2 linked regions of the Elephas maximus indicus genome follow. The protein of the gene in region 2 purifies or fractionates together with the protein of the main gene of each other region. This does not show direct contact. Links are inferred from orthologs where the notes say so. Each region holds a gene or a part of one and is shown on either strand. Other genes may lie near its edges.

What was found.
Region 1: the proteins of RBM8A (region 2) and RNPS1 purify together in Homo sapiens (co-immunoprecipitation; 4 studies listed by BioGRID and IntAct, with this or other methods). This does not show direct contact. The link is inferred for Elephas maximus indicus from reciprocal best matches to the Homo sapiens genes RBM8A and RNPS1.

Annotation. Positions count from the first base shown.
Region 1 is NC_064830.1:59,328,176-59,335,268, forward strand, and holds the start of RNPS1 (RNA-binding protein with serine-rich domain 1), read right to left. Parts: upstream 3,090-7,093; 5' UTR 2,841-3,089; coding exon of another isoform or gene 2,839-2,840; intron 1-2,838. UniProt on the Homo sapiens protein: Part of pre- and post-splicing multiprotein mRNP complexes. Auxiliary component of the splicing-dependent multiprotein exon junction complex (EJC) deposited at splice junction on mRNAs.
Region 2 is NC_064821.1:157,628,332-157,635,144, forward strand, and holds RBM8A (RNA-binding protein 8A), read right to left. Parts: upstream 2,164-6,813; 5' UTR 2,117-2,163; coding exon 2,050-2,116; intron 1,782-2,049; coding exon 1,722-1,781; intron 1,594-1,721; coding exon 1,516-1,593; intron 1,310-1,515; coding exon 1,173-1,309; intron 1,015-1,172; coding exon 878-1,014; intron 771-877; coding exon 725-770; 3' UTR 569-724; downstream 1-568.

The DNA of each region.
Region 1 (7,093 bases), on a different chromosome or scaffold from region 2:
TTGCAATTGAATGAGATACTGCATACATTTCATACAGTATATGCTTAACAAATGGTAACTAATGAACACTACCCCAAAACAAAGTACTGATTAGCTATATGCCCTTATTTCCTGGGGACTGCTGCCTCTAATAGTTCCAGTGAGGTTTTGGACAATTTGCTGCAAGTGGGCACAAAGATCTCAGGATAACAGTCCCAACTTCTGCCTTACCTTTCTCAACCCCCTGTAAGTAAGTCTGGACACAGCACACCACCCCGACCCTGTGCCCACATGTGTAGGAGTGTCCCTACCAGGGATGCTACAAGAACAAGTGCTCTGACCCAAGAAAGAAAGCACCTGGCTTTGGAGTCAAATAAGAGTAAAGAGAACTCCTCCTTCTGTAGATTCTTGCTGTAGAATCTTAAAAAAAAATTTTGCCTTAAAATGATAAGGTACCAGAGACACCCAGCAGGCACGTTAGTGCTGCTGGACAAGCAGTGAGTACAATTCAGTCTGGACTCAGCCTGCCTGGGTTTGATTTGAGGCTTTGCTGCGTGATTTTGGATAAGTCACTTAACATTTCTGAGCCTCAATATCTGCAATATGGTGAGTTATAGTGCCCATCTCAAAGAATTATAAAGGGCATTCATGGAATTAATCCACAACAAAACTTGGCATTAATTGTCCAGTCTCAATAAATGTTTTGTTGTTGTGTGCAGTTTAGTTGATTCTGACTGATAGAGATCCTATAGGACAGAATAAAACTACCCTATAGGGTTTCCTAGGCTGAAATCTTTACAGGAGAATATTGCCAGGCCTCTTCTCCCTTGGAGCAGCTGGTGGGTTCAAACTGCCAACCTTTTGGTTAGCAGCCAAGTGCTTAACCATTGTGCCACCAAGGCTCCTCAATACATGTTAGCTATTATTATAAGAATGGGCTGTTTCTCCACATCTGGAGGCTCTCTTCCTAGATATATTCTTGTCTCCAAAGTCACACGTAACTCCTGAACGCTCAACAGGGGTCCCTGGAAAGCCCACTTTAGGACCATACTGCAGCGCTGTCCCAAGCATAATGCAATTTTTTCTAGTGGACACATTTCAAAAAAAAAAAAAAATTAACAGATAAAATTAACTTCTGGTAATGCATCTTATTTCGAAAACTATACAGGCAGTCCCTGGGTTATAAACATCTGACTTACATATTACATTACGAACCAAGCCTTGTAAAGCCTAGTACTGTAAATTAAAAACCACGGTATATTAAAAATTCTATGTACAATGGTTCATAATAACAAACAGGCACTACTCTGCGACGTGCATCAAAACATCATTATTATTGCTATATTATATTAAAGATATTTTAGTGTATCTGGAAGTATTTCTTTCACGTTTTTTATACAAAAAGGTACACTATATACTTTGACTGACATTAGATACGAACTGTACCTGTTTTGACTTACATACAAATTGACTTAAAGACAGACTTAGGAACAGAACTTGTTTGTAATCCGGGGACTGCCTGTATTACCTTTTCAACATTAATCAATAGGAAAAAAATGTTAAAAAAATATTTTACATTCTTTCAGACTTTAAATTCGGACTAGTTACATTTTCAAGTGCCCAAGAGCCACATGGGGCCAGTGGTTATTGTATTGGACATCGCAACGCATCATGTAGGTCACACATGCAGATTCTTGCGCCCACACCCAGTTTTAACAATCTTGAGAGCACAGCCCCAGTCTTCGAAGCGCACTGTGTAAAAACAAGCACCATCGTTTATTCTTTCTTTTGCATTTTTGAGTTCTTTTTTCTCTTCTCATGGTGACCCCATGTGACAGAGTAGAACTACCCCACAGGATTTTAAAAATTTTTTCAGTGCGCTTTAGGTGAAAATTTCCAGCTCCAGTTAACCTCTCATTCAAAAATTTATACACATACTGTTTTGTGATATTGGTCGCAACCCCTCGTTTATTCTTAAGCACTCTAAAAATCAAGAACCACAGACTGAGCGAACGCTTTGCTGGGTATGGCTGAGTGCTAGAAAGCAAAGGTTGAGGTTCTCTGTTCACACGAGTTCAGGTAACAGGCCCAGGACCTCGGTCACCTCCCCCGTCCTCCGGAAAGGTGCGCGTCCAACAGCCAGGGAGAGGAGAGAACAAATTAGTAATGTCTTGAGCAGAGGCGAGGGCGTTTCAGCTCAAATCTTCAGAGCACCGTTTCCCATTTAAAGATACATTTTAGGAACAGTTCATGCTAGAATAGAGACAGAAGCAGCCTGTTCTACGTCTCTCCTCCGATGACCTTAACCTTTCCGTCGCCTCCCGCCTCCCTTCCGGGATAACCCGCCCAACTGCGTTCTGTGGCAGGAGAGCTGGGCCGTCTCAGTGCCCGCGCCTCGCACCGAGAACAGCGCAAAGAGCTCGGTTAACGCTCACAGAGGGAGGGTAGGGAAGTTGTGGATAAATAATCCTGAGGGACGGTCACTCGGCCTTTCAAGGGAGCCCACAAAGCCGCTCCGCTCCCACCAGCCCCAGCCGCCGGCCTCGCCGACCCCCGGCCGCGTTCCCGTCGAGTCTGGGCCGTAGGCGCTCCCAGGGCAGGGCCCACGAACAAAGGCCGCATTCCGGCTTCTCAGGTCCTGTTGCCCTTCCAACCCCAGCGGCCCCGACCACTTCCGGGCCTCGGCCTCGGCACCTCCCACTCCGCCCGCTCCGGCCCACTCTTTCTCCTCAAAGCCCGCGCCGCCAGGCCGCGGCCATCATCGCGGGTTGAGGAGCGGCGCAGCTCTCCACGATGTGTCCCGCTGGGCCTGGCGGGAGGCCCATGAAGCTTGGATGGGGTCGGATTCAGCCAACTTACATCTTCAGCCGACGCCACCGCCTCAAGCTCTCCTCAGCCGCCGAGGCTGGCGCCGCTCTGTCGTCAGGGTTAAGGAGCGGGAAGGCGCCGTCCTAGGGCGCACAGCGATGACGCAAGAACACTGCAGCCAATGGGCGCGGGCGGACGTCGTGTTAAAGGGCCACGGCCGTTTGTGGGAAGGGCCGCGGGGGCGCTACTTCGTTTTCCCTCCTGGATGGGTCTCCTGCGCGGTCCAGGGCTAGTTGCGCACCTTTTCTGCAGCGGGTAGGTAAGCGGCTGGCTGGGGCCTGGAAGGCTAGGCCGCGGGGCACACTTTAGAGCCGGCGTGGGAGGAGTTAACGCAGCCGAGTCCCCGCCCCCCGGTGCGCCTGCGCGGTGGGCCGGGTGCGCCGAGCGCGGGGGACCGCGGGGGTCGAAGGCGGGGGTGGCTGGGGGTCCTAGAGGGGCGCGGCCAGCCAGCCATGGGTGCATGCAGGCCGGAGGCGGCGGGAAGGGGTGGGCCTGTACGGAGCGTGGGTTCTTGCGATCCAAGAGTCGTGGTTCTGTGGGTGACCGTGTAGCTGCGGGCCGGAGCGCGAGGCAGGTGGGCGGTGCAGCCAGAAATGCGGAGGATTCTCAAGTTGATGGAAGGGGATGGGGCTTCGAGGAGGTGGCCTGAGTGGAAGGGCGAACCCAGCACGTGAAACAAGCTGCCAGGGCGCCAGGCACGTTTTCGGAAGAAGGGAGGGGAGGCAGAGACAAGGATAGAGGGAGAGTGTTGGACGCCAGCCCGGGCCGGAGGCTCTGGAGTTTGAAAACCCGGCGCCGAGAGGGCGAGGACCGCCGGAGTTGTGTACCCCTCGGTGTCTCCAGTGCCCCTTTCTGTGCCTGACAGTTGTTTCTCCATAATTATTCATGGAAGGAGCGAAGGTGGGCTCAGCCTGAGGTGACCGTTGTCTGACAGGTTTGGTGGCAACAAGGAAGAGAGCAGGAGACAAATGCAAGCCGATTATGTTGGAGGAAGGAGCCAAGATGACTTGGTAACATTAGGTGGGGGGCGGGGAAGGACAGGAAAGAGTCCAGGGTGAGGCTTGGTGACCCCGGATAGATGGACGGATGGATGGTATGGACGTGGTTTGCAAGTCATTGCTTTGTTCTGTGATTTTTCCAGCCAGTGGATGGTGATACCCCTTCCCGCAGTCTTTCTAGCCCCATCCAGGATGTTGAGTGCAGCTTTAACACATCACCCCTAGCCACAGGGCGTCTGAGGAGTTGGAAGACAAACGATAGCCAGAGTGGAGTCAGCCCCACTCGGGGTGGGATGGGTGCTAGATTTGGTGTGGGACAGTTGGAACGAGTTAATCTCTGCGTCGACGGATGTCACAGCGCATTCCCTGCCGTGGCCAACTTGAAGGTCCTTGGAACAGAGTGGGTATGCCTGGGGGATGGGGTGGGCTTGGTGGTCCCGGCAGGCAGCAGTGTGTTGGTCTGTGAGGAGGCAGTGGCAGAAAGGACTCTGTAAACCTGAAGCTACCCATTAACGCCTGTGGGAAGATTCTGGAACCCAGAGCCTGTGCTCAGGGTTGCACTGACCTGCTAGCTGGGGTCAGCGTGGCCATACGACCCCAGCATGGTGAGAGGAGGGTGGAGGACAGAGTACAGCTGGGCTGACAGTGCCCCTTCTCATCTTTAAAAAAATTATCTAAAGTCAATTACTTTGGCATGCATATAAAATTTAACACATTTTGTATTAAACTTAAAAGCATGTTTATCTAGACACATGGATTTGAGTTTGTTTCTAAATGTCACTGCTTTTTGTTATAACACATGCAATTTTGGCTGTTGAGCTTTAGAAAGTGAACATCCTGGTTTTTGCCATTTTGAGGAACAGCAAGAGTGTGTTTGGAAAAAAAGAAAATTCTAGAACCCTGTCCCCTGGGAGTCCTGGCTCTCCTCCTCCAGTCTCTGTTGCCAACCTGCTGATGCCATGGGAGCCCTTGGGGGACCTGGGCAAGGGGGGTGATCTTTGGCCCTGGTATGATGGAAGGGGGAAACCCTGGTGTCGTAGTGGTTAAGTGCTACAGCTGCTGCCCAAAGGGTTGGCAGTTCAGATCCACCAGGTGCTCCTTGGAAACTCTATGGGGCAGTTCTATCCTGTCTTATAGGGTCGCTGTAGGGTCAGAATGAGTCGGAATCCACTCGGTGGCATTGGGTGGGTTTATGATGGAAGGGTGGGGCAGGGCAGGGCTTGCACGAACAAGGCATTTGGCAGCCACCCTGGCCCTAGAGCTCTGTGCCACAAGCCACCTTCGGGCTTGGACCAGTGTCCTGGGGAAGGTCATGAAGGGGGCCTTCCCAGGGCAGGGTCACCTGTCGCAATTTGGGGCAGCCCTGAGTTTGAGTACGTGCTCATGTCAAAGAATGCCCTGCCCGCAATGCCCGCATCCTCTGTGGCCCAGTGACCTCTCATAGTTCACCCTCAGGCTGTTGGTCTGGACCTTGCTGGCCTACATACACACCTGGCCTTCCCTGTCAGTCAACATGGAGCTTCTCTCACCGGGGAGGCACCTGCTGGGCAGCTGTGGGGCCTGGGCAGCTCTGTGTGTTGAGGAAGGAAGGCAGGGCCTCTGCTCCCTGGGCCGGAGCCCCCAGCTTCAGCCCCCTCCTCCTGCCCGAAGCCAATGCCCTGTGGGTGTGTCAGGTGAGGATGGGGGCTTCCAGCTGGACCCAGCCCTCTCTCCGGGCAGATCTGTGGCTGACCTGAGGGAAGGGAAGGGGCCGCAGGAGCCCCCAGGCTCCTGGGTGACCCAGCATGGAGGGTCAGGGGCCACCTGCACCAGGGTTCTGGGAGTAGGGCTCCTGCCTGGAGGGTGAGGATGCCCCAGGGCTGCTGGCAGGCCTCATTATGGGGGACAGGCTGAGCAGCTGAAAGCCAACTTCAGTGTGGGATGAACACCTCAGATTCCCTCTAGGGACCCTTTCAGGGCACCCCCAGGAGCTGTAGTCCTTGCACGGGGGGGGGGGGGTGGAGCCCAGGCTGCATGCAAAGGGACCTCCCCAGGGAGTAGCTGTCTGCAGGGAGGAAAGCACCCTGGCTTTCACCCTCACAGAGCCATGGGGTCCAAATTGTGCTGGTCCCCAAGGTAGACTGAATAGCTGGGGCAGCAATGCCCTTAGGTGGAGCCCCCACCAACCTGCGGGCTCTAGAGCTGAGACCTTAGGGACCTTGGGTCTCTGGCCCTGGCAATGTCAGGTTTGGCTGCTACTGTGCCTTTGGTCTAACCTTGCCTGGAGCTGTGCCTCAGAGCGGATGGGGGGGAACCCCGTTATGGATTGAATTACGTCCCCCCCAAATTGTATCACCTTGGGTAGGCTATGATTCCCAGTATTCTGTGGTTGTCCTACATTTTGTGATTGTAATTTTATGTTAGAGAAGATTAGGGTGGGATTGTAACACCCTTCCAGGTCACATTCCTGATCCAGTGTAAAGGGAGTTTCCCTGGGGTGTGGCCTACACCACCTTTTCTCTCTCCAGAGCTGAAAGCGAAGCAAGCAGAGAGTTGGGGACCTCATAACACCAAAAAAGCAGTGCCATGAGCAGAGAGCATCCTTTGAACCCAAGATTCCTGCACTTAGATGCTTCCAGACCCCAGTAAGACTGAGCACAGGAAGAAGGACCTTCCTCCACAGCTGACAGAGAGAGCCTTCCCTTGGAGGTGACGCCCCGAATTCGGACTTCTAGCCTCCTATACTGTGAGAAAATAAATTTCTCTTTGTTGAAGCCATTCACTTGTGGTATTTCTGTTATAGCAGCACTAGATGACTAAGACACCTCTCTTGGTCGACAATATCACCTCACCTCTGTGTTCAAGGTCCTGAGCAAGCCAAGTGGGGGAGGGGTGGAAAAGGAGGCTGTGGGCTGGCTGCTGCCTCTACCCAGACCCCAGATGCCACCCTTGGATCTGCTTGCTGGGACTCTTGGCTCCCCTGAATCCTGGATTAAGGATTGGGTTTGGTATTCGCCCCGCAGGAAACCAGTGTGTTTGTTTTGCTTTTCTGAGTCTCTGCATCCAGCACAGGCACTTGGTGGGGGAAGTGCCCTTCTGCTGATCTGTGGGGATTCGTGGGCTTCCTGGGGATTCGTGGGCTTCCTGGGCGGCACACGTGCGGGCCACTTCCACAAGGAAGCCACAGTTCCCTCTATGCTCAGGGCAGACTGTGGATTGTGTCCTGGTGCCCTGGGGTTTTCTGGGGGTACCCAGCCACAGTGCAGCCT
Region 2 (6,813 bases):
GGAGGCCCCACAACTTGCCTTCCTTGTTTTGCTGACCTTCCTCTGCTGGATGCCTTATTACCTGCTGGGTCAGTGGTACTGGTTCTCCCCCACCATGCTACCTGAAGTTCCCCCCAGCCTCAGCCACATCCTTTTCCTCTTTGGCCTCCTCAATACTCCTCTGGATCTTCTACTCTATGGGGCCTTCATACTTGGCTGCTGAAGAAGGCACAGAGTCCTCAAGGAGGGAGGGTCTGGCAGAATGCTCCTGAGACAGATGAAAGCACAAATAAATGTGGCAGGAAAAACTAAAGAGACATTCCTACAATATCCATTTGCTCTGAACAGAATATATAGGAACAGAAAAAATAGTGTTTAATACTATAAGCACGTCTCGCTGCTATGCCTGATCTTTTAGCTGTCCGGAGGAAAAAAAAAAATTAGTGTCTCCAATCTAACAATGACCAATGTAGAAACTCACATGGAACTCAGTCCCTGCAAGGAGTACCTGCACAAGTGACTGATACTGCCTTCCTGTAAAAACTAATTTGTAGCTTTCAATGTTGGTGCAGAGAAACAATTTTAAATATAGAAAATAAAAGTAAGACATTTATTCACAACTCAAACATAAGGCAGACAAAGGCTAAGAAATTAAATATAAACACAGTAAGTTCCATCCCAATTTCTCCAGGCTGCACAGTCAAATGGAATCTTGACAGAGAACAGGAGGACAACAGAGGACCTGTCAGCGCCGCCTCCGGTCTGGACTCCTGCTGCGTCTTCGGCCACCTCTAGGGAAGAGGAGAGAAGGGGGTCCATCAGAGTGACGTCTGATAAAGCCCTTATTCTTTCTGCTCACATTCCCTTACCAAGATAGTCACTCCTTTCTCCACCTTACCTCCTCTTGCTCTTGGGTGGACCCCGAACAAAACACCAGTCTACACTGATGGGCTGTCCCATCAAATCCTGGCCATTGAGTCCCTCCATGGCAGCCTGGGCCTCCTTGTATGTTTCGTACTCAACTAGAGTATACCCCTAGAGGATGTGAAAACACAAATATCAAAACCCTTCTACATCACCAAGACTTACTGGACATCCTTTTCCTCAAATCTAAACTCATACTTCGACAGAAAAAACTAAGTTTTAAAAAATGGTCTGTGGGAAGGAAGGCAATGAGATTTGATTTTGGATACCTTCAGGTATCCTGTACGCCTGTCCAGGTTCAAGTGGATATTTTTTATTTCTCCATATTCTGCGAATTTGTCATGGATATCTTCTTCAGTGGCTTCCTCGTGAACTCCAGTGACAAAGAGAATCCAGCCTTCAACAGCTGTTGATGGGGGAGGGAGATGAACGTAGATGGTTTTGAGGACATGACATAAAAACAAAAAAAACTTTAAGCTGAGCTATGGCAGCTAAGAGGCTGCAGACTTCAGTATTTTCTCAGGCTATCTCTGACCCCGTTCCTACACGGTTTTATTTTATAGGTCCTAACTGCTTAAGGACACAGAACCCCACAGGTTCCACTTCACTCACAGCGTTGTGGTCCGGGTTCATCGCCATCCTGCTCCACGCTGTCATAATCTTCACGCATCCGAGCTCGGGACCCCTCTTCTATAAGAAACGCACATCAGATCACCAGGAATTCCCCTCTTATCCCACCGTTCCCCATGGGGGTCTCCAAAACTCGTAGCTCCCGCCCTCCTGGACCACTCCACCCCATTTTCTCAACGAATACTCACCAGAGCCAAAACCGCGGCCTTTCCGTTTCTTTGCTTTTTCTTTCAATTTGTGGATGCTCTCTGGAACCAAGCAAAAAAAGGGAATGAGTAACAAAGGCAAAACCCATTTGTAAAAACTGGCCTTTTACCAAAACAATATTTAAAGTGTGGATCCCACCGTCTGCAGTCCCAGTCCCTTCCCGGTCCCACCCCCAGTCCTCCCATAGGGGGTGGAGCCTCTGACCCCAGCTCCCACTCTCCCTGCCGGGGAGAAAGGAGACTATGCTTTAGTAATACACCCTTCCCTCTCTCCTCCCCCGCTCCCCGCAGCCGTCTCCGCTGTCTTCACCGTCCCCATCCTCATCCATGGCGAAGTCCTCGCCCCCGGCCTCATGAAGATCCAGCACGTCCGCCATCCTGCTTTCGTTGTAGCTCTCGTCTGTGCCGCCCAGGCTCTAGGCACCTCGGGAAACTGTCGCGGAGGGGAAAGGTCGCCAGTCAAGTTGGCCAATCAGAAGCCAACTCTAAATTCCTTATCCGGCGCAGTGAAAATACGCAAACGGAGGCGGGTCTTAGCCGGGAAGATGACGGAAGTGATCCGGTAGCCAGCTTGGGCAGGTCGTGAGGCAGCTTCAGCCGCGTTGTGACGGCCAAACTATGGGGGAGTAGGCGGAGTCAGGGACTCCACCTTCACTACGGCCACGGAGGACAGCTGCAGACAGTGAAGTCTGACCTCGTTTCTTTATTAAAAGATTGCTTTCCATCCTGTCTAGGAAATGAGGATGGAAGAATACTTCGAGGTCTTGTACCTTGTTACGAGGTATCTGATAGCTATCTGATAGAACCATTAAAAAAAAGTTCAGTGAGCAATGTTGTTTCAAAAAGTTGCTTTGGAACGTATTGCAGAACGGAATACATCTGTTTTAAGAAATTAAAAGGTCGGGTTGCTGTTGAAATACAATTATCAGAAAGGTATTAACATTTTTTAAAAGATAAACTACTCCCTACCACCTCTTGAGACTTAAGGGGGAAAAAGCCATGGTTGGACTCAAACAGAACGCCAATGTTCACTGCAGTTTATTTACAATTGCCAAAGAGTGAACACAACCGAAGTGTCCAGCAGATGAATGGATAATCAAAATGTGGCATATGCATACAATGGGATACTATTCAGCCATGAGGAGAAATTTAATCCTGATACATGCTACCACATGGACGAACCTTTGAAAACTTGTGGAGTGAAGTAAGTCAGACACAGATGGGCAAGTTGTATGATCACACTTACATGAAATATCTAGGATGCATACTAAGAATGTTATTTGAGATTACCAGGGGCTGGAGGAGGAGGAAATGGATGTTATTGCTGAAGGGGTACTGAGTTTGCATTTACAGTGATGAAAAACTTATGGAAATGGATAGTGGTGATGTTAGCACAACATGACGAATGTAATTAATGTCACTGAATTCTACATTTAAAAATGGTTAAAAATGATAAAATTTTTGATATATATATTACTGCAATAAAATTTAAAAGAAATTCATGGCCTGAAATGAAATAGGCTTTTGCTTTCTTTGTGCATGGTGCAGTCATTTCACCTGTGAAAACCTAGGAGTTGAGGAAAAACCCATATTTCCCCAAATTGTGGAATGCAATGTAGCCTTCAATACCAGTTGTAGGGTAATGCTATTCAGCTATATGCATCCCCTCCCTAATGGAAACAGCTTTGCTCTTCGCCAAAGCGTGCTGGGGATGAATTCGGGATGGACTCAGGCTAAGGTACAAGGCCAGGAGTGGCAATGACTGGGCCAGCGGCCAAGGCCGAGGAATGCCTTAGCAACAAGAAGGAAAACACCTGGGCCTGGATGTGAAGTCCCTGGGAACACTGACTGCCCAAGGATGTGGGAGAAAACAATGAGCCTTGGTCCTAGCTGGAATGGTACATAAGCTTGGGTCTCTTGCTAGGTGGTTGTGGAAAATACTCCAGCCGGCCACCACTGGAGAGCATCTGCTTGCCCATGTAAGTTTCCCTGAATGCATGAATCTAAAGGGCTACATGTCAGTTCTTCGGATTATCTGCCAGGACGCACAGTGAGGGTCTTTCCTTGCTGGGGCTGTCCCCCGACCCTAATGGACTGTGGGTTCACTTACTAATTTTTTTAATTGATTTTTTTCATTGTTTTTGAGGATATATACAGTATAACACACCAGTTCAACAGTTTCTCCAAGTACAATTCAGTGACACATTACATTCTTAGAGTTGTGTAACCTTTCTCACCTTTTTATGAGTTGTTCCTCTCCCATTAACATAAATTCACTGCCCCCTAAGTTTGTTATCTTTCCAGTTGCTGTTGTCAATTTGATCCCATATAGGTAGATCTTAAAAAAGCATAATGCTCAAGGCAAACATTCTTTACTAGTTAAGCTAAACTACTGTTTGGTTTTAAGAAGACTTCAGGGATATTTTTGGTTTTCAGTTTAAAGATTATCTCAAGGCAATAGTTTCAGAAGTTCATCCAGCTTCCAAGGCTCCAGAAGGTCTGGAGTCCATGAGGATTTGAAATTCTGTTCAGAATTTTCCTCCTTTTGACCAGGATTCTTCTCTAGAATCTTTGATCAAAATGTTCAGTAACGGTAGCCATGCACCATTCAGTTCTTCTGGTTTTATGGCAAAGGAGGCAGTTGTTCATGGAGGCAATTAGCCATGCATTCCATTTTCTCCTCCTATTTCCGACTTTCCTTCTTCCTTTGTTGCTCCAGGTGAATAGAGACCAATCGCTGTGCCTTGGATGCCCCCTTGCAAGCTTTTTAAACCCCAGGCACTACACCATGAACTGGGAGGTAGAACAGAAGCACTAAACACAATCTTAGGCCAACTTACGAGGTTGTCCATGAAACCATGACCCTAAACCTCCAAACCAAGGAACCAAATCCCATGAGGTGTCTGGTTGTACATAAGCAGCCTCGACAGCTACTCTCTTTTTTTTGTAAATAGATGTAACACACAACTTTTGCCAATTCAACTTTTTATGGGTGTTGAACCTATTGGTAGCAATTACATAAATTGGCTGTGCAACCCTACATTTTTTTTTTAATTGTGCTTTAGGTGAAAGTTTACAGCTCAAGTTAGTTTCTCAAACAAAAATTTATACACATTTTGTGACATCGGTTGCAACCCCTGAATGTGACAGCACTCTCCGCTTTTCTACCCTGGGATCCTTGTGTCCATTTGTCCAGTTTTCCTCTCTCTTCCTGTCTTCTTACTTTTGAGCAGAGTTGCCCATTCATTCTCCTATATTTAATTGAACTAAGAAGCATGTTTCTCCCATGTGTCATTGTTTGTTTTCTAGGCCTGTCTAACCTTTGTCTGAAGACTAGTCTTCGGGAATGGCTCCGTTCTCAGTCAGCAGTGTGTCCAGAGACCAGCGTCTCAGGGGTTCTTCTTGTCTCTTTCAGACCAGTAACTCTGGTCTTTTTTTGTGAATTTGAATTTTGTTCTACATTTTTCTCCTGTTCTCTCTGGGTCTCTCTATTGTGATCCCTGTCAGAGTGATCAGTGGTGGTAGCCAGACACCATCTAGTTCTTCTGGGCTCAGGTTGGTGGAGGCTGTGGTCCATGTGGTCCTTTAGCCCTTTGGGCTAATATTTTTCTTGTGTCTTTGGTTTTCTTCATTCTCCTTTGCTTCTGATGGGATGGGACCAATAGATGTATCTTAGGTTGTCACTCGCAAGCTTTTAAGACCCCAGATGCTACTCACCAAAGTAAGATGTAGAACATTTTCTTTATGAATTATGTTATGCCAGTTGACCTAGTTGTCCCCATTACTATAGTTCCCAGCCCTCAGCCCCAGCAGCTTGGTCCCTCAAGGTGTTTGGATGTGTCTAGGAAACGTCTATGACTTTGCCTTGGTCAAGTTGTGCTGACTTCCCCTATAGCGTATGTTGTCTTTCCCTTAACAAAGTTAACACTAGTCTACTAGTGATTTCCCTTCCACACCCCTCTCCTCCCTTGTAACCATCAAAGATTTTTTTTTCTGTGTGTAAACCTCTTATAATAGTGATCTCATACAATATTTGTCCTTTTGTAATTGACTTATTTCACTCAGCATAAGGCCCTCCAGGTTCATCCATGTTGTGAGATGTTTACGGATTCATCATTATCCTTTATCGTTGTGTACTATTCCATTGTGTGTATGTACCATAATTTGTTTATCCATTCATCTGTTGATGGGTGCTTAGGTTATTTCCATCTTTTTGCTATTGTGAATAGTGCTGTAATTAATACGGGCGTGCATATGTCTATTCGTGCTGTGGCTCTTATTTCTTTACAATGTATTCTTAGGAGTTGGATTGCTGGATCATATGATATTTCTATTTCTAGCTTCTTAAGGCGGTGCCATATCGTTTTCCATACTGGTTGTGCCATTTTACATTCCTACCAGTGGTGCATAAGAGTTCCAGTCTCCCTGCAACCTCTCCAACATTTATTATTTTGGTTTTTTTTGATTAGTGCCAGCACTGTCCAGGTGAGGTGGTATCTCACTGTAGTTTTGATTTGCATTTTTTTTTTAATGGCTAATGATCATGAGCATTTCTTCATGTATCTGCTAGACACCTGAATATCTTCTTTGGTGAAGTGTCTGTTCATATCCTTTGTCCACGTTTTAATGGATTATTTGTGTTTTTGTTGTTGAGGTGTTGCAGTGTCTTGTAGATTTTAGCGATTAGACCCTTGTCAGATATATCATAGCCACAATTTTTTTTCCCAGTCTGTAGGTTCTCTTTTGCTCTTTTGGTGAAGTCTTTTGACGATCATAAGTGTTTAATTTTAGGGCAAAGATAACGAAAATGGTGGCATAACGTGAAGTACGTAATCATTATGAACTATACATGTAAAAATTGTTGAATATATGTTTTGTTGTGAATATTTTTACAAAAAAAAAAAGGGGGGGTTGGTTTTAGTAGGCGTGTGACCAACAGATTTTTAAAGGATCACTCTCCCTACTATGGAGAGTGGATTAGTGTCTCCTAGTCTCAATAAGGAGGTACCATGGTGGCACAGTAGTTATGCACTCAGCTGCTAACTGAAAAGTCAGTGGTTCAAACCTACCAGCC